Pelodiscus sinensis: one gene and its partner. The main gene of each other region encodes a partner of the protein of the gene in region 2 in a complex. Links are inferred from orthologs where the notes say so. Each region holds a gene or a part of one and is shown on either strand. Other genes may lie near its edges.

Evidence for each region. Proteins that work in one complex are often made in the same cells at the same time.
Region 1: the proteins of DBF4 (region 2) and CDC7 are in contact, whole or in part, in a crystal structure (PDB 6YA8), measured with the Homo sapiens proteins. The link is inferred for Pelodiscus sinensis from reciprocal best matches to the Homo sapiens genes DBF4 and CDC7. Residues at the interface, in NP_006707.1 of Homo sapiens: Thr210, Arg211, Thr212, Gly213, Arg214, Leu215, Lys217, Pro218, Phe219, Val220, Lys221, Val222, Glu223, Asp224, Met225, Ser226, Gln227, Leu228, Tyr229, Arg230, Pro231, Phe232, Tyr233, Leu234, Leu236, Met239, Pro240, Ile242, Asn243, Tyr244; in NP_001127891.1 of Homo sapiens: Asn56, Val57, Phe58, Ala77, Gln78, Leu79, Gln80, Ile87, Ile93, Pro94, Thr95, Ser96, His97, Pro98, Ile99, Arg100, Ile101, Ala102, Leu105, Gln106, Thr109, Lys121, Tyr122, Cys123, Phe124, Arg125, Asn127, Asp128, Val130, Leu143.

The regions. Positions count from the first base shown.
Region 1 is NC_134719.1:33,694,210-33,704,492, reverse strand, and holds the start of CDC7 (cell division cycle 7-related protein kinase), read right to left. Parts: upstream 4,232-10,283; coding exon 4,212-4,231; intron 1-4,211. UniProt on the Homo sapiens protein: Kinase involved in initiation of DNA replication. Phosphorylates critical substrates that regulate the G1/S phase transition and initiation of DNA replication, such as MCM proteins and CLASPIN.
Region 2 is NC_134712.1:216,914,716-216,924,634, reverse strand, and holds the start of DBF4 (protein DBF4 homolog A), read left to right. Parts: upstream 1-5,537; 5' UTR 5,538-5,686; intron 5,687-6,002; 5' UTR 6,003-6,052; coding exon 6,053-6,098; exon of another isoform or gene 6,099-6,102; intron 6,103-7,524; coding exon 7,525-7,700; intron 7,701-9,919. UniProt on the Homo sapiens protein: Regulatory subunit for CDC7 which activates its kinase activity thereby playing a central role in DNA replication and cell proliferation. Required for progression of S phase.

The DNA of each region.
Region 1 (10,283 bases), on a different chromosome or scaffold from region 2:
CTCAGAAACCAAGAGGAACAAATTTTCTCCTTCCTCCTTGTGACACCCTTTTAGATATTTGAAAGCCGCTATCATGTCCCCCCTTAATCTTCTTTTTTCCAAACTAAACAAGCCCAGTTCATGAAGCCTGGCTTCATAGGTCATGTTCTCTAAACCTTTAATCATTCTTGTCGCTCTTCTCTGTACCCTTTCCAATTTCTCCACATCTTTCTTGAAATGTGGCGCCCAGAACTGGACACAGTACTCCAGCTGAGGCCTAACTAGTGCAGAGTAGAGCGGCAGAATGACTTCACGAGTTTTGCTTACAACACACCTGTTAATACAACCTAGAATCATATTTGCTTTTTTTGCAACAGCATCACACTGTTGACTCATATTCAACTTGTGGTCCACTATGACCCCTAGATCCCTTTCTGCCATGCTCCTTCCTAGACAGTCGCTTCCCATCTTGTATGTATGGAACTGATTGTTCCTTCCTAAGTGGAGCACTTTGCATTTCTCTCTATTAAACCTCATCCTGTTTACCTCCGACCATTTCTCTAACTTGCTAAGGTCATTCTGAATTATGTCCCTATCCTCCAAAGAAGTCGCAACCCCACCCAGTTTGGTATCATCTGCAAACTTAATAAGCGTACTCTCTATCCCAATATCTACATCATTGATGAAGATATTGAACAGTATGGGTCCCAAAACAGACCCTTGAGGAACTCCACTTGTTATCCCTTTCCAGCAGGATTTAGAACCGTTAACAACCACTCTCTGACTACGGTTATCCAGCCAATTATGCACCCACCTTATCGTGGCCCTATCTAAGTTATATTTGCCTAGTTTATCAATAAGAATATCATGCGAGACCGTATCAAATGCCTTACTAAAGTCTAGGTATATGACATCCACCGCTTCTCCCTTATCCACAAGGCTCGTGGATGATCTTTGAAAAATCATGGCAGACAGGGGAGATTCCAGAAGACTGGAAAAGGGCAAATATTGTGCCCATCTATAAAAAGGGGAATAAGAACAACCCAGGAAACTACAGACCGGTCAGTTTGTCTGTCCCAGGGAAGATAATGGAGCAGGTAATTAAGGAAATCGTATGCAAACACTTGGAAGGTAATAAAGTGATAGGGAATAGCCAGCATGGGTTTGTGAAGAACAAGTCATGCCAAACTAATCTGATAGCTTTCTTTGATAAGATAACGAGCCTTGTGGATAAGGGAGAAGCGGTGGATGTCATATACCTAGACTTTAGTAAGGCATTTGATACGGTCTCGCATGATATTCTTATTGATAAACTAGGCAAATATAACTTAGATAGGGCCACGATAAGGTGGGTGCATAATTGGCTGGATAACCGTAGTCAGAGAGTTGTTGTTAACGGTTCTAAATCCTGCTGGAAAGGGATAACAAGTGGAGTTCCTCAAGGGTCTGTTTTGGGACCCGTACTGTTCAATATCTTCATCAATGATGTAGATATTGGGATAGAGAGTACGCTTATTAAGTTTGCAGATGATACCAAACTGGGTGGGGTTGCAACTTCTTTGGAGGATAGGGACATAATTCAAAATGACCTTAGCAAGTTAGAGAAATGGTCAGAGGTAAACAGGATGAGGTTTAATAAAGAGAAATGCAAAGTGCTCCACTTAGGAAGGAACAATCAGTTCCATACATACAAGATGGGAAGCGACTGTCTAGGAAAGAGCATGGCGAAAGGGATCTAGGGGTCATAGTGGACCACAAGTTGAATATGAGTCAACAGTGTGATGCTGTTGCAAAAAAAGCAAATATGATTCTAGGTTGTATCAACAGGTGTGTTGTAAGCAAAACTCGTGAAGTCATTCTGCCGCTCTACTCTGCACTAGTTAGGCCTCAGCTGGAGTACTGTGTCCAGTTCTGGGCGCCACATTTCAAGAAAGATGTGGAGAAATTGGAAAGGGTACAGAGAAGAGCTACAAGAATGATTAAAGGTTTAGAGAACATGACCTATGAAGCCAGGCTTCATGAACTGGGCTTGTTTAGTTTGGAAAAAAGAAGATTAAGGGGGGACATGATAGCGGTTTTCAAATATCTAAAAGGGTGTCACAAGGAGGAAGGAGAAAATTTGTTCCTCTTGGTTTCTGACAAGGAGTAACGGGCTTAAAGTGCAGCAGGGGAGGTTTAGATTGGACATTAGGAAAAAATTCCTAACTGTCAGGGTGGTCAAATATTGGAATAAATTGCCAAGGGAGGTGGTGGAATCTCCCTCTCTGGAGATATTTAAGAACAGGTTGGATAGACATCTGTCAGGGATGGTGTAGACGGAGCTTGGTCCTGCCTTGAGGACGGGGGGATGGACTCGATGACCTCTTGAGGTCCCTTCCAGTCCTATTATTCTATGATTCTATGATTCTATGACGCCACCCAACTGGCTGACTGGGCTAACCGCCTAAACACGTCAGCCCACGAGCAGTTCTATGTCCGCCTGCCCTGGCTACTTCCTCACCCCCAAGTGTCTGGGCTTCACCGTCCGCCTCCTGTTCCACTATCCTCAGTTTTCCCAGTCCTCCCTCAGTCCCGGCCGCTCCTCTCTCTGTTCTCCACCTCTCCTCCTTTTAACACTGCCGCTTCCCCTCCTGCACCGGCATCCCGGGGCCGGCTCCCTGCCCCTCCTCCGTTGACCTCACCTGAGCTGCCCCCCATTGCACCTGCGCCGGTGCTGCCATGTCTGGGGTCGAAGGCGCATGTGCCGCCAGGGAACTGGATGCTGCTCGCCAGCTCCGCTCCGGCTGCCAGCTCTTCTCTCACCGCGGTCCGAGGGGAGAGCGGCTTGTCCGGCCCCCGGCGGAGGTCTAGTGGCGGGGGTGCGCTTTGCTCCACGACCCCGTCACAGAGATGGTATTAAGACCCCAGACTCATGACACCCACAAAACGATATATTACCATAAGTTGTGAGGGGTAGGATCAGGGGCATTTGCTCCAGTTATATTTGGGCCTGCAAAGAAGCTGGAGATGAGAATAGTGAGTGGGGATATGGGTAAACACTCTGTGGCATCAGAGTTGGACCCAGGAACACTAGAAAATAGGCTTTATGGCATCAAAGCTATGGACATGCTTGCTTGAAACTAAGTCCAATAAACATCACATTGCCTGCACTTCAGACTTCTGGTCTTTTGCTTTCCATCTTCATGAAAAGAATCGGGCGGGGGAAGAGAAAGTTCCCTAACACAACCTGAGTCCTAAAGAAAACCAAACAACTGGGCAGTAGGGATGTAAAATCCTATTTTAAACCAGTAAAACGTTACATTTAATTGATTAACTAGGATCATGCAGGCAGGGGGGCCACTCTAGCCTAGATAGGCCCAGCTGGGTTGGAACAGTCCCTTGCCCATGGCGCAGGGGGCCCGGCCATGCAGGAGTGGCCCCACACCCGCAGTGTAGCATGATGGGTCCAGCCTGACTGGAGCAACCCTTTGCCCATGGCTCCAGTGTAGCCAGATGTGCTGCATTGCAAACTGCTTTGGCCACACTGGGCTGAGCCCATTGTACTGTGGGTGAGGAGCTTCTGCTCAGGCCAGGCTGGGCCTGCTGCCCTGTACTGTGGGCAGGGGTTGCTCCAGCCAGACTGGACTCAACTTGCTGCAGGCAGGGAGCTGGCTGATCCAGGCTGTCTGGGCCCACTGTGCTGCCCAGTTATCTGGTGGCTGGGCTGGGCTGGAGTGCCCTCCTCCAGCAGCGCAGTGTGATGGACCCCACTGGACTGGAGCGCAGGGGCTGCTCCAGCCTGGCCAAGTTGCCAGTTATCTCCAGCTTCCCCAGGGGACAGAACTTAAGGGGAGGGGACCCTGTGGTTCCTGGTCTCTTCTGTGGTAGGTGTGTTTCCTCTGGGGACACCAGGCCTCTCCTCAGAGGGGGCGGCTCTGAGTGGGGGCCTGGGCTATGGTTCCTGGCCTCTCTTCAAAAGGTGGTGTTTCCTACAGGATGGGGTGCACTGAGGTTCCAGGCTTCTTCCAGAACGGGAGAGTCTACTGCAGAGGGGACGGTGACAGGCCCTGGCCTACCTAGAGAAGGGGAGTCTCTTCCAGATGGGATGGTCCATGGTTACTGAGTCTCCTGTGGGTGTGGGCTTTGCTGTTTGGGGGGCTGTGGTGGCAGCCAGTGACTGATGGGACTCCCCCTCCATTCAACACTGTGGCCGAGGGCTGTGGAGAAAGGCTTGGGGCAGGGAAGCCACTTACCCAGTCCAGTGACTGGCCATGTAAACAGCTCTGTCGCCAGCTGGCCAGTCTCTTGTTGGTGTGGTCGCTCTCCAGTGGTCACTCTGCAGTGTAGCTATCCCTCCTGTAGCTTCCTCCATTTCCATGTGATAAAAAATAATCCCATTCCAGGCACTTCACGTTTTCCTGGAACAACCAAACCCTCACCTTGCTTTAAGAAAGGAAATCTTCTGTGTCCGCATATTTATCTATTTCCACCTCTACAATATTGCCTGGTTAAATATAGTCCATGGTTCAAGTTCAAGTTATTCTCCAAGTTAAACTTGCTATTGTCAGTGATAATTCACACAATGTTATTTTGAAAGTGTGATAATTTACAAATATATTTGTGCAAGGGATTGTACTAACTGTTTCTGTATTTGCATGTTTACCACCTTCCCCACAGCTTTTTTTTTAAAGTGGGTAATTTTTTTTCACCATAATGTTTCTATTTTTCCATATTTTGACTTCAGTGGCATAAAAAGCTTTAATGGAGTGAGAATCTAGCCAGCAATATCAGTAAGCAGCAACGATGACTACTTTAAAGCTGTCTTTTATAGTATTTCTTAAACTTACTGGTTTCACATTGTTTGTTTTCTTTAAAACTGGTCATCTCAGGGTATGTCTACACTACCCTCCTAGTTCGAACTAGGAGGGTGATGTAGGCATACCGCACTTGCAAATGAAGCCCGGGATTTGAATTTCCCGGGCTTCATTTGCATAAGCGGGGAGCCGCCATTTTTAAAACCCCGCTGGTTCGAACCCCGTGCAGCGCGGCTACACGGGGCACGAACTAGGTAGTTCGAACTAGGCTTCCTAGTTCAAACTACCGTTACTCCTCATTTCACGAGGAGTAACGGTAGTTTGAACTAGGAAGCCTAGTTCGAACTACCTAGTTCATGCCCCGTGTAGCCGCGCTGCACGGGGTTCGAACCAGCGGGGTTTTAAAAATGGCGGCTCCCCGCTTATGCAAATGAAGCCCGGGAAATTCAAATCCCGGGCTTCATTTGCAAATACGGTATGCCTACATTACCCTCCTAGTTTGAACTAGCGGGGTAGTGTAGACATACCCTCTGTGATTTAAATTATTTAAAAAAAATCGAATTCTTATATAGCGGATTCTATACAAAAGTAAAGTTGTGCATACTATCATAGCATATGATTAGTATTAAACTTTTAACATTTAAATCTGGAGGAAGTTAGGCATATATGATTGAAACATCTAGTTATTTTCCCATTGTATTTGGCATGTAGCACCAAGATGGAATAATAGCCTACAAGCCATTTTATAAATAGACTACTATAATAATAAACATTCCTTAACTTACTGTACATTCTGTAAATCATTAAAAGTCATTGTAACCACCCCAGTCATTATAATCTATTCTTCCCCACTATCACCCTGGAGAGACTATGCCCCTAATATATGAACAGTTCAAAAATGTGATATTCCACTTAAACCTTCTGTAGAAACACTGGGTTTGATTCACCTCTTATTTATATTAATTTTGCATTGGTAAAACTGCACTAACTTCAGTTGAATTACTCCTGATTTATACTGGTGTAACTGAAAGCAGAATGAGATCTTCCGTTCACTGATTTTGAGACAGATACAGCAGAGAGCAACAAAGACATGATGTCTGTTTTCCGTTTGCATGCCATACTTTCACTTCTAAAGAGCTACTAACAAAAGAACAAAGAATTATAGTTCATAAGAAAACTGTTTCATACTCCTATATAAAAGAACAAAGAAATATATACAAAGAAAACCATGTCTTACCCCAACTCCAACAGGCCTGACTGAGGTATGCTGAAGTCCCAGCAGGCAGAATGAAGCAGTTACAGTGCCCCCAGCAGACAGCAGTGTTGGGGCCCTGAGATAAAAGCAGTCTATCAAAGAGAGAAATTTTGTACTGAAAGAAAAGTGATACATATATCACTTAAGGCAACTGGCTTAAAATATTAAAAAAGAGGACAGCATCATAGAAAGGGGGTTTCTTTAGAAAATTGCCTGTGGACTATATTTTAGTGTTCAGAAGCCTCTTCCTGATGTTATTTTATACAATACCCAGTTTTCTCCAGTTTCAGAAGTACTAATATTCAGTGGCTGCAGAATCACAGAAAGCTTCTGGATTCTGCTTATGCCTCCTCCACACTCCTGAAGTCCTATTTCCAGCAAATGTTTCAGAACTATATAGCCCTGCGCATGCACACACATGGCTGCGCACGCTCACATGCTCACACACACACACACACACACACACGTACATCTACACTGTGGGGGTTTTCCAGGATACTGGAGATATCCCAGAAAAACTCCGCCACGTCCAGGGAACGCATTTGCTCTTCTGCTTTTTCTTTGCAGAAGTGCAAATGTGCTCTTTCAGAAGCCTTGTCTTCCTCATTCCATGAGGAAGAAGGGATCTTCTGAAAGAGGGAGATTTTCCAAAATTTGGTCCAGTGTAGACAGGTCAAATTTCGGAAAAGCCTCTTCCAAAAAAAAAAAAAATAGGAAAAAGCTGTAGTGTAGACCTACATACCAGCCACTCAGGTGTTGATGGTTCCCTGCTTTGAAAAGGCTTCATTTTGAACTAAAGATATTAGATACCTTTGATAAAATATGTTGCCCCTTTTTGTAAAACACAATAGATTATTAAATTAAATATCTGGCTGAATGTAATTATTATATTACCTTATATTTTATCTCTGTGTAGTGCCTATTTTCTGCTAGCCTAGTTCTCATTTGTTATGTTGATATTTGTTATTTATGCTTTTTGCTTGTTTAAAATAACTATAACTAGGGATGTGATGAATTCCTGATACAGAATCTGATTAAAATAAAAAACCCTCCAATTTCAATAACAGTTCATAAATTTACTTGGACAGTGCTTTTCTGATGCTTTCTAAGAATATGGATAATGAATGTTCAATAGTGTGCAAATACAACCTAGTGCAAATTTCAGCTATATATGACCTTAGGAATACATGCTACATACCATCCGGAAAACATTGGTCATTTTTATAACATTAACAAATAATATTGCTAAAAATCTATTAATTAAAATATTAACAAAGTTTGCTAATATAAAGATGGATGGTAGTGCTGCTTAAACCCCCTCGTCTCTGTCTTTTATCCTGCAAAGGTGCTTGTTTGGGGATCACCACGTCAACCTTGACTGAGGTGGCAGAGGACTGGTGTAGGAGATTTTAAGGCTGTGGAGCCAAGCATTACTAATCTCAGAGAAGTGTCCTGTTCCCTCAAACAGGAAGTCTTGAAGAGTGGTAACTTGAAGAGAGGACTGTAACTAGGAGCTCCACCTACTGCACTGCTGACTGCCCTGCCACCTAGTCCGTAGCATCCCAGGCAATTTGGAGTGTGCCTCTCGCTATCGCTGTGCCTTCCTCCACTAAGGCAACGAACTTCTGGGCTCGGTCCTGTGGAAGGGCCTCTTTGAACTTGCCGATGGAGTCCCACGGGTTGGATGTCAGAGCATGCTATGGTGACAGATTTGGTGCTGTGCTTTGATTCTGGTGCCAGGGACAGTTTGTCCATTGCAATCAGGGAAGAATGGTGGGAGTACAGGATCAGCATAATAGGTATGCCCCACAGATTCCAATACAACCACTGAGTGGGCCACTGTCTCTGATGCTGCTGCTTCCGGAGCCGCACTGATCTTGTGGGATGGTGGTGATTTACCTTTTCTTGATGAGGGGCTGAACTTTCCCTCTGACTTGGACCATTGTCCTTTTTGTAACCAGGGCAGAGCTGTACAGTCCTGAGTTGGCCAACTGAGCCTCACTGGCGACCAGTAAGGAGATGGCGTGGATCAGTGCCTGCCCAAAGAATGGTACTGGGGAGTTGGAGACCAATGCCACAACCGGGAATGATCCTGCATTGGAGAGTATCAATACCTGAGAGAGAGCCTAGTCGATGATCTTTGTCTTGACAATTTTTGGCAGGAGGCCCGTTGATATCATGGGTATGGGGATTAGTATTTTGGTGGTGTCCCGTGCCTTGTAGGTGGAGATCAGGGTGTGAAGTACCTGGGTCTTCTAAATAACTTATTCTTTGTCCATCAAAAGCATTATGAGGAGCCATGGTCCACTGCTGCTTTCAGAATTCAGATCCCCGGCTGAACTAGGGGATCCAACCACAGCAGCGACCCTGTGCGAACATGTGGCCTGCAGAGCGAACATGTGGCCTGCCTGACACAGGTCTTTTTCCCAAAGTCCTCTTCCCCTCTGGTGCTGGTGGGCCCTTCATCTTTAGCAGCTTCTTAGGCACTAGTGAGGGGGAATGGTGCCTGGTGAATTCTGGTGCTGGCCGTGCGTTCTGCTTTGATGCCAAGGTGGTAGGTGTGGAGTCCAATCCGGAGGGTTCCAAGGCCAGACAAAGTGCAGTGTCCATGAGAAGATCCTTGAATTGGATATCCTGCTCCTTTTGATTTTGAGGCTGAAAGACTTTGCAGATCCTGCACTTGTCCTTTCTATGGGACTCCCCCAAACACTTTAAACAGCATCATGGGGTCACTAATGGACATTGGTCTTCTGCATGATGAACATGGCTTAAAGCCTGGGGAAGACGGCATTCCCAGCCAGGACTCTAACTACTAAACTATTACATTAACACTTAACTTAATAGTCTAAGTACCTAAAAACTAAATATAAAGGAAAGAGAACAATTAACTGTAAGAACTGGTAGGCTCCTGCAATGCAAAATAGGGCTCTTAGATCTGTAGAAATAAAGAACAGAGAGGGAATAGGGCCAGTGGTGCCTAATATAGCATCACATAAGCAACTCCAGGGGGCGCCACAGCCAATCCCATGGACACTGCTAAGGCAAAAATCTCTATTGACTGTTCACATGGGCAAACATACACCTGGAATGGAATCAACATGAGTAAACATACGAAGAAGTCTCATTTCACTGTCCTGTTCTCTCTGAGAACCTGTTCAACTGAAGTAAAGCTGGTTGAAAAATTGTTAACAGAAGAGTTTTCTGTTGGAAAAATGCAATTTTGCCAAACTTGAAACATTACAAGGGAAAGTGTTGATTTCTGTGGCATCTTTGTCAAAAAATTCTTGAAATGAATTGTTTTGACTGCCTCATTTTGTTTTGATAATATCAAAATGTTTCCTTTCAATAAGATAAAAATGTTTCATTTAGACTTTCTTGTTTAATTTTGATTTGAGTTGATATAATGTTAAATGTTATATTTAACATTTGAAAGTATCTTTTATATTTGATGTTTTGATATTTCCAATACATTTTTTTAAAATTTTTGTCCTGTAAGTAATTTAGAAATTTCAGCTTTCCTACATCAAAAAACTAATTTTGAAATGTCTGAATTTCCCATGGTATAGCAATTCAGCCTTCTGACAAACTATAACTGAAAAATAAATCTAAACTTCCTCTCTCTTAGCAATCAATTTTAGCTTTATGCAGTACTTAGTTTTCTCCAGTTTCAAATGTATTAATAATTCAATAAAGTATGTTGATGATGGTCATGGTATGTCACAAGTTTCTGCTTTGCCCCAACCCCCAAACAACAAAAGTCTTTTTATATTAGGACTAGAAGATTTACCCAGCATTGCTCAGGTCTTTAACTTACAAAGATTTGTTTTTCTTCATTTAAATCAGGCATGTCCAAAGTCCGGCTCGCGGGCCAATTGCGGCCCGTGTACCGGTTTAATACGGCCCCCCAGGTAATTTGGCAATATCTATCTTTTATGGCCCCCAACGAATCCATATGTATTGAGATGAATACATTGTAAAATCTCAGTTAATGTTAGTTGGTCTAAATCAGTTATAAATATATTTGGACACAACATGTATACTTGGTGTTATGTTCCTGTTCATATTTTTTGAACTTAAAAGTTGACAGACAACCTTTATTACCAATAATATGTAATGTACTTTACAATGTTCCTGACATATATTTCAGCTTCCTGGATTTTTTTTTCATCTGGCCTTCAGATATGAAAGGCAGATAACACCTGTTTAGATTTGTCATCCATGTGACAAAATGAAAAGTATGCCGTTTGCAATAAACT
Region 2 (9,919 bases):
ATATCCCACAACTGTGTCTGTGTCACAACTGGACAATGGTAGTCAGACTTATTAGTCAGAGCAGAACCAAGAAGATCAGCAGAAGGTCAGAGTCCAAGACAGGCCAGAGAGAAATCCAGTTGTAATCTGGGGCAAGTTACCAGGAAATGAGGATCAGATGTCTATAAACAAAATACAGGACTATGTAGCACTTTAAAGACTAACAAGATGGTTCATTAGATGATGAGCTTTCGTGGGCCAGACCCACTTCCTCAGATTAAATCTATAAACAGTAATGGAAGAGCAAAGCTAAGGACAAAAAAGATCAGAAGCTGGAAACTAGGGTCTATCACAAGCAGAGTTTAGAGTAGAAAGAAACAGGCCATCTGCATTTCTGCTCAGATGCCTTCCTTCCTTAGTTTCTTAGCCACCAGTGGTCTGCAAAGTGCCACCACTCAAGTCCGGCTGCACAGTATGTCCTGTCAAACCCAGCAACCCTCACAGAGTCCTCCTCAGCCCAGCCTCAGTCTCTACTAGCCATGCAGCAGCACAGAATCCCTATGGTCCCAATGCCGTAAGTTCTTACAGGTATTTTTTTTTCCTTGACTGATACAGTTACAACAGTATAAGCCCTAGTCCATGTCACAATTATATCAATTATTGATTACCTTGCTCCCTGAAAAGTATGTGCATTTTTATACCATTAAGCATTAAAAAAGTAAAACTTTCAAGTTTAAACAAACCCCATCTTCCATGGTTCAGAGCATTTCTTTACATCTAAACCAGCAATGGGCAACCTAGGCTAGTGAGTGGACCACATGAGTAGCCCTCCTTTATATCAGTGGGCCACAAGATTGTCCTAACTTAGCAAAACTATCCTATCTCGGGAGGTTTTTTAACTGCGCTTGCACACCTAGAATTTTCAGGGCATGCTCATTTAACCTTAGCATCACTTTAATTGGATGCAGAAGGTGTGCATGGCTCTCACAGTCAACATTGTGTACAATCAGTATACAACTCACTTAATGTGCCTTTGCTTTAAGTGAGTGTCACTTTAGTAATACCAGTAGGGAAAAAAAAGTTGTGAAAGGAAACTAGCAGAATCTGGCAACAATAAACAACAGCCTTGCAGGCCACATGCAGAATATTGGTCTAAACCAGTGGTTCTCAAAAATTTTGGCCTGTAGGCCACCTGGCTCAATGCAAACCTTTCTGTGGACTACCAGTTGCTAATAGAAACTCACCGCTAATTACATAAACACACCTGCCATTTTGCTAGTGCTGCCACTAGGGAGAACAGTTTAAGTTAACCAGTAAGAAAGGAAATATTAAATTATTAAATAAATTAAATGCTTTAACTTTCTCATGTTAGTCTATCAAACTTCATTTTAAATCAGTGGTGGGCAATAATTTTTGATGGGGGGGGGGGCACTCCAAGATTCTGGAAAGTGGTTAGGGGCTGCACTCTTCCATGATATTCATGGAGGAAGTACAGAGTCAGGGATGGAGGTTGGTTGCAAAAGGAAGCTTGGAGTAAAGGATTGGGATACAGGATGGAGAGTAGGGTCTGGGAGGGAGTTTGGGTGAAGGAGACAGTTGTGACCTGGGGTACTGGTCTGGGATGCAGTGGTTTGGGTTGTAACCTAGGGCAGAGGATTGGGGTGTAAGAGTTTGGGTATGATTTAGGGCAGAAGGGGACTCTGATCTGGGGCAGGGGATTGGAGTACTGGATCCAGGAGATATGGGTGCAGAAGGGGGGCAGAGGGTTTAGGTATATGGAGTAGGGGGGCAGGAGTGGCGGGACAGAGGACTAGGGAAAGGAGAGGATGGAATGCCAGAGGCAGTCTCTGTCCAGGAGACTTACTTGGGTGACTCCCATCCAGCAGCCCAGCACCTTTCTGAAGCAACTTCTTTGCCTAACCCAACCACCACGCAGGCTGCAGGGCCACGTACCTGTGAGAATAACTACAGGCTGGAGGGGAGGAGGGCATGGTGCTTCTTGTGCAGCCTGTTATTCAAACAGGCAAATCCCATTGACCAGTTCCTGACCAGAAACTAGTCAATGGGATTGTGCTGGAGGCAGGGGCAGAGCCTGAAGCTTTCCCTTCTCCACTCCTGGTTCATAGTTTTGAAAGAAAAACGGCCTGGCAGCCACTTTTCTGCACATGGGTAGGGCGAGGCAAGCAGGGAGTCTGCCTGGGGTTCCCCACTGTGTCCAGGAGCTGAATCAGGTGGCTTGGCAGACCAGATGCAGCCCATGGGCTATACTTTGCCCAGGCCTATTTTAAATAAAGTAAAATATTAATTTTATGTCTAACACAAAAGGTTTCAATGATTTATTTATTTATGGCACGGGTGGAGAACCTTTTTTGGACCGGGGGCCAATGACCCACAGAAAAATCAGTTGGGGACCACACAATTCAGAAGCAAAGAAACCCCTCCCCAAACCTCCATAGAACCATGGAATCATAGAGCTGAAAGAAACCTCAGGGGGTCATCAAGTCCAGCCCCCTGCCTAAGCCTTCAACCCTCACTGACGGGGCACCCAAATGAGAAACCTCACTTCTCTGGAGCTCCAACCCCATGGGATGAGCGGGGGGTGTCAGGGAAGACTGAGGTTCAGGGATTCCCATGGGCCAGATTTACTCTTCTGGGGTACCGGGGTTAGTGGATTTTGTGGGCCCCCCAGGGTGTGGGGGGGCGGACAAAAATCAGGGGTTCAGTGTGTGGGACAAGGCTGCCAGTGAGTTGGATAAAGATGTGGGTGCAGGATCTGGATGGGAGGTGGAATGCTGGAGGGGGTGAGCACTGGGTGGGAGGTAGGGTGCAGGTGCAGGATGGGAGTAGGGTGTCTGGCCAGGACAGAGGAGGCAAGAGCAGGGGCAGGTGCAATGTGTGGCTAGGAGGGAGGGTGCAGTAGCAGGCTGGGTGTCTGGCAAGGGGAGGGTGCAGGAGCAGGGTATGGGTGCAGGGTCTGGGTATGAAAGGGTGGGGAGGCATTTACTTACGTTTGCGCCCCACGCCATTCCCAAGCTCCATATCCCAGACACGGCCTCCTGCTGCTCCCACTGGCCACAATTCCAGCCAATGGGAGCAGCGGGGAAAAGCCTCTATGTGCCTATGCTGCTATATTCACAGCTGGGAGAAAGGGAAGGGAAGCAACAGCGTGTGGAGCCACCTCTAGCTCTGCTTCTTCCCCATGAACTGGATCTAGTGGGGAGGCTCAGGGCTTTCTATCCCACCCCCTACCCTAGCAGGAAGGTGCCCTGGTGCTCCAAATTCGTGGGGGGGCGGGGCGTGAGGCTGGAGTGCCAGCATGGGCTCCCTGCTGTGGGGAGAGGGAGGGAAGCAGGGCAGAAGTGGGGAGAGGACTGAGCTTGAGCCACAGGCCACTTTAGTGGTCTTTATCATCCCACAAAAAGTTAAACTGTTACCATTCATGCCCCCAAAGACTTTTACTGGAGAAAAGGTGTGCTCTTAACATAGGTGAGCTAACTCAAGTTAACTGAGATTTTCCCTTGAATTAACTTGATTAAACACCACTCTCTCCCTCTGAACATGAGGCCTCAGAAACTTCAGCCCTGGAACCTGGAGAGATGAAGTCAGCCCTTTTCAAGAACATGCCCTTCCACAGGTTTCTGCCCATGCCAGAGGCTGAGAACTTGCTCTCTCCACAGAAAAGCTCTTTCACTGCACTGCCAAGACACAGTCCCCCCTTTAAGAACATCAGCATCTACTACAGCCCCTTTCCCTCAAAGGCAGTGCCTACCCGCTCCCTTCACACAGGCACACATCAAGTCTCCACAAGAGTCATCACATCCCTGCTGGCTCTTTGCCCCCACGCACCATCTCTCACTTGTGACCACAACCTCTGCTCCTTGCACCCCAGCCACCATCCCCTACTAATGACTATAGCCCTACTCCCCCACACCAGCCCCACTCTGCCACTCAGGGTTGTGGCCGCTAAGGGCACAACTACACTGCAGGGCAAAGCAGAGCAGGCCTAAGCTACAGGATGACCGGGCTACTACCCGGGGCGCCCCATTCTAGGGGACACCGCGTGGGGCTGCCGGAACAGGCGGGGAGGGGCTGTGCATGCAGTGGGCATCCAGGACAAGGCCACGCATACACTGGGTGCCCAGGGGCAAGGCCGTGCATGCGCCACACTCCTGGGGGTGGCACTGCGCTCCTGGGGCGCACGAACGGCTCGGCAGGCCCTGAGGCAAAGGTCGAAATTCGCAACTTCAGCTACATCAATTGTGTAGCTGAAGTGGAAATAGCTTAGTTTGGATTTGGGCGCTATCTACACTGCAGGAAGTCAAAGGAAAAGCACCCTTCCTTCAACTTCCCTTACTCCTCCTGAAATGAGAGTTACAGGCATAGGTGTACCCAGGGGGTGTGCCGGGTGTGCCCAGGCACACCCTAATGTCTCAAAAAAAAGTGGCTTTGGGTTTTAATTTAATCACACGATACGCTCTTTTAGTTTAAAGGTATAGATTGTTGTATTATATAATAAGCGGTGTCATTATTCCCCTTTATTCGGCTTTGGTGAGGCCACATCTGGAGTATTGTGTCCAGTTCTGGGCCCCCCACTACAAAAAGGATGTGGACGCATTGCAGAGGGTCCAGCGGAGGGCAACCAAAATGATTAGGGGGCTGGAGCATATGACTTATGAGGAGAGGCTGAGAGACTTGGGTCTGTTTAGTCTGCAGAAGCGAAGAGTGAGGGGGGATTTGATAGCAGCCTTCAACTTCCTGAAGGGAGGTTCCAAAGAGGATGGAGAGAGGCTGTTCTCAGTAGTGACAGATGGCAGAACAAGGAGCAATGGTCTCAAGTTGTGGTGGGAGAGGTCCAGGTTGGATATTAGGAAAAACTGTTTCACTAGGAGGGTAGTGAAGCACTGGAATGGGTTACCTAGGGAAGTAGTGGAGTCTCCATCCCTAGAGGTGGTTAAGTCTCGGCTTGACAAAGCCCTGGCTGGGTTGATTTAGTTGGGATTGGTCCTGCCTTGGGCAGGGGGCTGGACTTGATGACCTTCTGACGTCTCCTCCAGTTCTATGATTCTAAGTGCCGAATGTAGAATATATAAAAAGCCTGCCTTGGCTCACAGCATGTCCTTTATGATTGAGTAGTCAATAAATTTTCACCAATAAAAAATAAAATTCCCTGGGTGCACACCCTAATGAAATGTGCTGCGCACCTCTATGGTTACAGGAGCCAGCGTAAGAACTCCTCCATATAGACATTATTGCTGTGTAGACGCGCACACTATGGTATTTGGAAATAACGCTGCTGTGAAGCCGGTCCACTCTCCAGGAGCGGCGCCTCGTGCGGCACAGCAGCAGCAATCCCACTCGCAGAGGCCATCAGCCGCCCGCGCCCTGCCCGTACCGGGTTGCCACACGGGCTGCCGCTCCCACTCACTGTGCTCCCAGCGCTGGAGGGAGGAGCCGCCCCAGCACCAACAAGCCACCTGCGCTGCGCCCGCCTCGCGCCAGCATTGCTCTCTGCCCGGCAGTCCCGCCCCTTGGCCCCTCCTCAGGGGGCGGCGCTACTCTACTCGACCCGGCCAGGCCGCGCCGGGAGGGAGGGAGGCCCGGTTAGGCCTCTGGTGCGGAGGTTGGAGTCGCGAGGCGGGAAAGCGCCTCGGTCAGGCTGCCGGGGGAGGAGGGGGCTCGGCCCTGGGTAGCCGCCTCAGAGCCTACGGTGAGCGAGCCGCAGCGCCTTTCCCACCCGCGAGAGAGGGAGAGGGATCTGGGGCGGGAAGGGGTGACCGTTGGGAGAGGGGGAGGGGAGGGCTGACTGGAGCAGGGGTGACCGTTGGGGGAGGGAAGCGGCGGCTTGGACGGGGCTTGGGGAGAACCACGGAGCCGCAGAGGAGCGGTGACTGGGGTGGGGGTAGCTGCGGACTTGGAAGCTGCGGCGTGTATGGGAGCCAGGGGGCAGTAACTCGAGGTGGGCAATACGCACGGGCCGCCTCTCTCGGAGATTTAATTTCTGTATTGAACCGTTTCTTCGGCAGGTCGTAACTCGGGGAGGAAGGTGGATGGAAAAATGTGACTCCCCAGGAAAATGAAACCAAGTGCTATGAAGATTAGCAACAAAGGACAAGTTACACGTAGGTGATGGTCTTTCTTTAGATGATCTTGAGCGATTATGGGAAGCAGTTCAGAGGGTTTGCAAATCTCATTCAGTGGCTGTAAAGGATTTTTTGATCGTTTAATTTAGGTACATTGTTAACTGGGAGCTGTTTTTCTCAAATTCGTCAAATAAAAAGGGGGCTGCATATAATTAACACCTATGAGAAGGCCCCAATCCAGCATTTTGTCTCTTGGTGTGTTCGTGGACCTATGACTGGAGCTTGACTCACCATTTCCCACAAAACGTGTAAAAATGTTTAATTTTATTTAAGGTAGTCCCAAGGAAGCAATAGTAATAAAAACTCAAAACACAAAATGGGTAAATATCTGTATTGTATTTGTAAACACCATCATCTTCCAAAACAAAAAACAGGACTGTGTAGCACTTTAAAGACTAACAAGATGGTTTAATAGGTGATGAGCTTTCGTGGGCCAGACCCACTTCCTCAGATCAAATAGTGGAAGAAAATTGTCACAACTTCCAGTAATTGAAAATTCACAAGAAAGCTGAAATTCTTAGGCTTTAAAATCCTTTCTCTTTAATATTGGAGACTCTGTGCTAATTTATGCTGATACACTAGAACAAAAAGTGAAACTGACTAGAAATAAGTGAAACTGGTTAACTTGTTCATTGTATAAGCTGTCTGAAAGAGGGATAAACTTAAAAAACAACGAATAGGCTAGCAGCACCTTAAAGACTAACAAAACATGTAGATGGTATCATGAGCTTTCATGGATACCACCCACTTTTTCAGATGAATGGAATATTAAAAGCCCAGTTCCAAAATAAATATGGGATGGGGGGGGGAGGGCGGCAAAAAAGGAAGGAGGAAAAATTAGTGAATTAGAGTTTTTAAGGTGCTGCTAGCTAGATTTTTTTTTAAGTTTTTCCAGTTATAGATTAACTGAAATTCAACATCCCTGTTTCAAAAGCTTCAGAGGGGTAGCTGAGTTAATCAGCTAATTGAATAGTCAATGGAAGGGGGGTGCTCACTATCCTGCTGCCTCTCTCCCTTTGAAATGTACAAGAGCCATCCACAGGGGGTTCCCCTCTGTGCTGCTTCCTTTGAAATGTACAAGATCCACAGGGTTGGGGCCTTTGGTGATTGCTCCCCTTTAACATTACTGTAGATGGGCATCAAAATGTCTTCTGAGAAATGAAGTAATTGAAAAAAACTTTAATATTGTTTTAAAGCTGGTTGTGTAATAATTTTCAAATCTTCTTTCTTGTATGTTTTAGGGCCACGGTTCTTCAAAAATACATCCTGTTTATGCAGAACTTTGGCTTATCCTGCCCTTACTGTCACTACTTGAATTTGGCTTTAAAGAGGGGAAAATATTTTGGAAAACATGCAAGTTCATAAAATATAATCCTATTCAAACTTTCTTTCTTTTTTCCACCAGGTGGAATACAAGGAAAAACAGAAAAAAATAAACCTTCTCTGAAAACATCAAAAAAAGATATCACAAAGACAGAGAAATCTAAATATAAGCCTCTTACAGGGAAGGTGTTTTATCTTGATATTCCATCTAATGTGATCTCTGAAAAATTAGAGACGGATCTGAAGGAACTAGGAGGGGTAAGTTTAAAAAACCATATGTGTTTACAAAGTGGGAAAAGTAATATGCAGGCTTTGGATATTTTTCCAATACATCATGTTCTGTAAATACATGATTAAAAATGATTATTTTTTTTTAAATATATGTTGTCCCGTAACTTTATTTTCTACATGTTTTCCTTTTTATAATGAATCTTTAGGTTAATGTTAAAATATAATTTTCTTCAGTTTTTTTGCTATTATAAGTGGAGCTGGTAACATTGCCTATAAGGTTAAGGTTATCCAATACTTTCTATTTTAAGACTTTGTTTTCAGTTGCTTTTAACTTTGCCTACCTCTGACTGTTTTGGCTGAAGTTTTCTGTGCTAGTTTTCTACCTCAGGCTCATTTTTTTTATTTGAAAGTTTGTCTGTTTCCAAAAATGAGATTAGAAAACAACATCTTTTCCCCAATGTTTAAAGCCTTTTTACAACTGTTTCATGGAGTCGCTCTTTTGCCTCCATGCTTCAGACCAGACTTGGGCAAGGTGGTCAAACTGGTGCTAGTAATATGCCTTTTGCTGTCCCCATGACATTTTGCTTAAATTTGGCCAAGTAATGAGGCTCAAAAAATCACTTCATAAGTGCTCAGAAGAGACTTACTGGTGTTTGGTAGCAATATTCTCCAAATATTTCATATAGCATGCATTAGCCCAGAGCTGCAAGGGCTGGATAGTTCTGTGTAATTGTTCTTTCCTGCCATCAGGGGCAGTATCTCTTATGCGGCAAGAACTGGGGTGATGACATGAGTTGAATTCAGAGTGCTGGGGGTGTAAGCAATAAAGGCATGATGCATTGCAGGAGCCAAAAGAGGGCCGGAGATGTAGGTGCGGGTGGATGGGGAGGAGTTTTTGGATATGAGCAAAGAGGAAGGGTGGGACAAGGAGGGCATGGGGTTGGATAGGATCAAGGATGGAAGTGGGCAGGAGACAGGAAGGCTACGTCTACACTGGCATGATTTTCTGGAAATGCTTTTAATGGAAAACTTTTCCATTAAAAGCATTTTCGGAAAAGCACGTCTAGATTGGCAGGACGCTTTTCCACAAAAAAGCCCCGATCGCCATTTTCGCGATCGGGGCTTTTTTGCGGAAAACAGTACTGTGCTGTCTACACTGGCCCTTTTGCGCAAAAGTCTTTCGGAAAAAGACTTTTGCCCTAATGGGAGCAGCATACTATTTCCGGAAAAGCACTGACAATCTTACATGAGATTGTCAGCACTTTTCCGGAAATTCAAGCGGCCAGTGTAGACAGCTGGCAAGTTTTTCCGGAAAAGCTGCTGATTTTCCGGAAAAGCTGGCCAGTCTAGACACAGCCGAAGTGAGGAGTTGGATAGGATCAGAGAGGGTGCGGGGCAAGAAGGTGGCCAGCAGGAGGTATGAGTATTGGATAGGAACAGGGGAGGAGATAGCTGAAGGGGTAAGGGAGGACACGATAGGGCACAGAGATAAAATAATTAACAGCCAGCACAGCACATTCCTCTACACATCCTGGAACTAAATCCAGGAATTCTGTGTCTTTGCAATCATCGGCTTACAAAGCTGTGAAGCCCACTAATAAAGTATGTGCTCAGCCCATGTGACTGGTTTACACAGAGGATAACAGCCTTCTACTGCTACCAGTTATTCTACCATATTATGATATTCTGCTATATTAAGAGGTAGTCTTTGCTATTAATCTAAAGGTCCAAATTAGGGATGTAAGCTACTAGTCAGCTACCCAAACCCCGCTTGCCCTGGATTCTGACTGCTGCGCTTCTGCCTATGAAATGTAGCAAGAGCCCGGGTTCTGACTGCTGCATTCTGTCTCCATAGGGGGCAGGAGAGGCAGAGGCACAGCGGGGAAATGGTGTGAGTGGGGACTGAAGCAGTGCCCACTTGCCCTGGGTCCCGACTGCTGTGCCTCTGTCTTTGAAATGTAGTAAGACCCGTGGACGCCTAATCAAGTAGTCAATGGAACTTCCATCAACTACTCAATTAGCTGATTAATCGAAATTTAACATCCCTAGTCCAGATTCTGTTCATGACCCAAGGTGGGGGTTAGTATGCTTTCACTGGACAGAATTTCTGTTTTGTTTTCCCAAAAAATCTATATTAAAAGAATATTAAGGTTACAAAGTTAAGCATTACAAAGTCAGGACATTTAGAAACAACATTTCTGTGCAGCCATAAATACAGGCCTTTTGTACTTAAATGTGCAGGACCA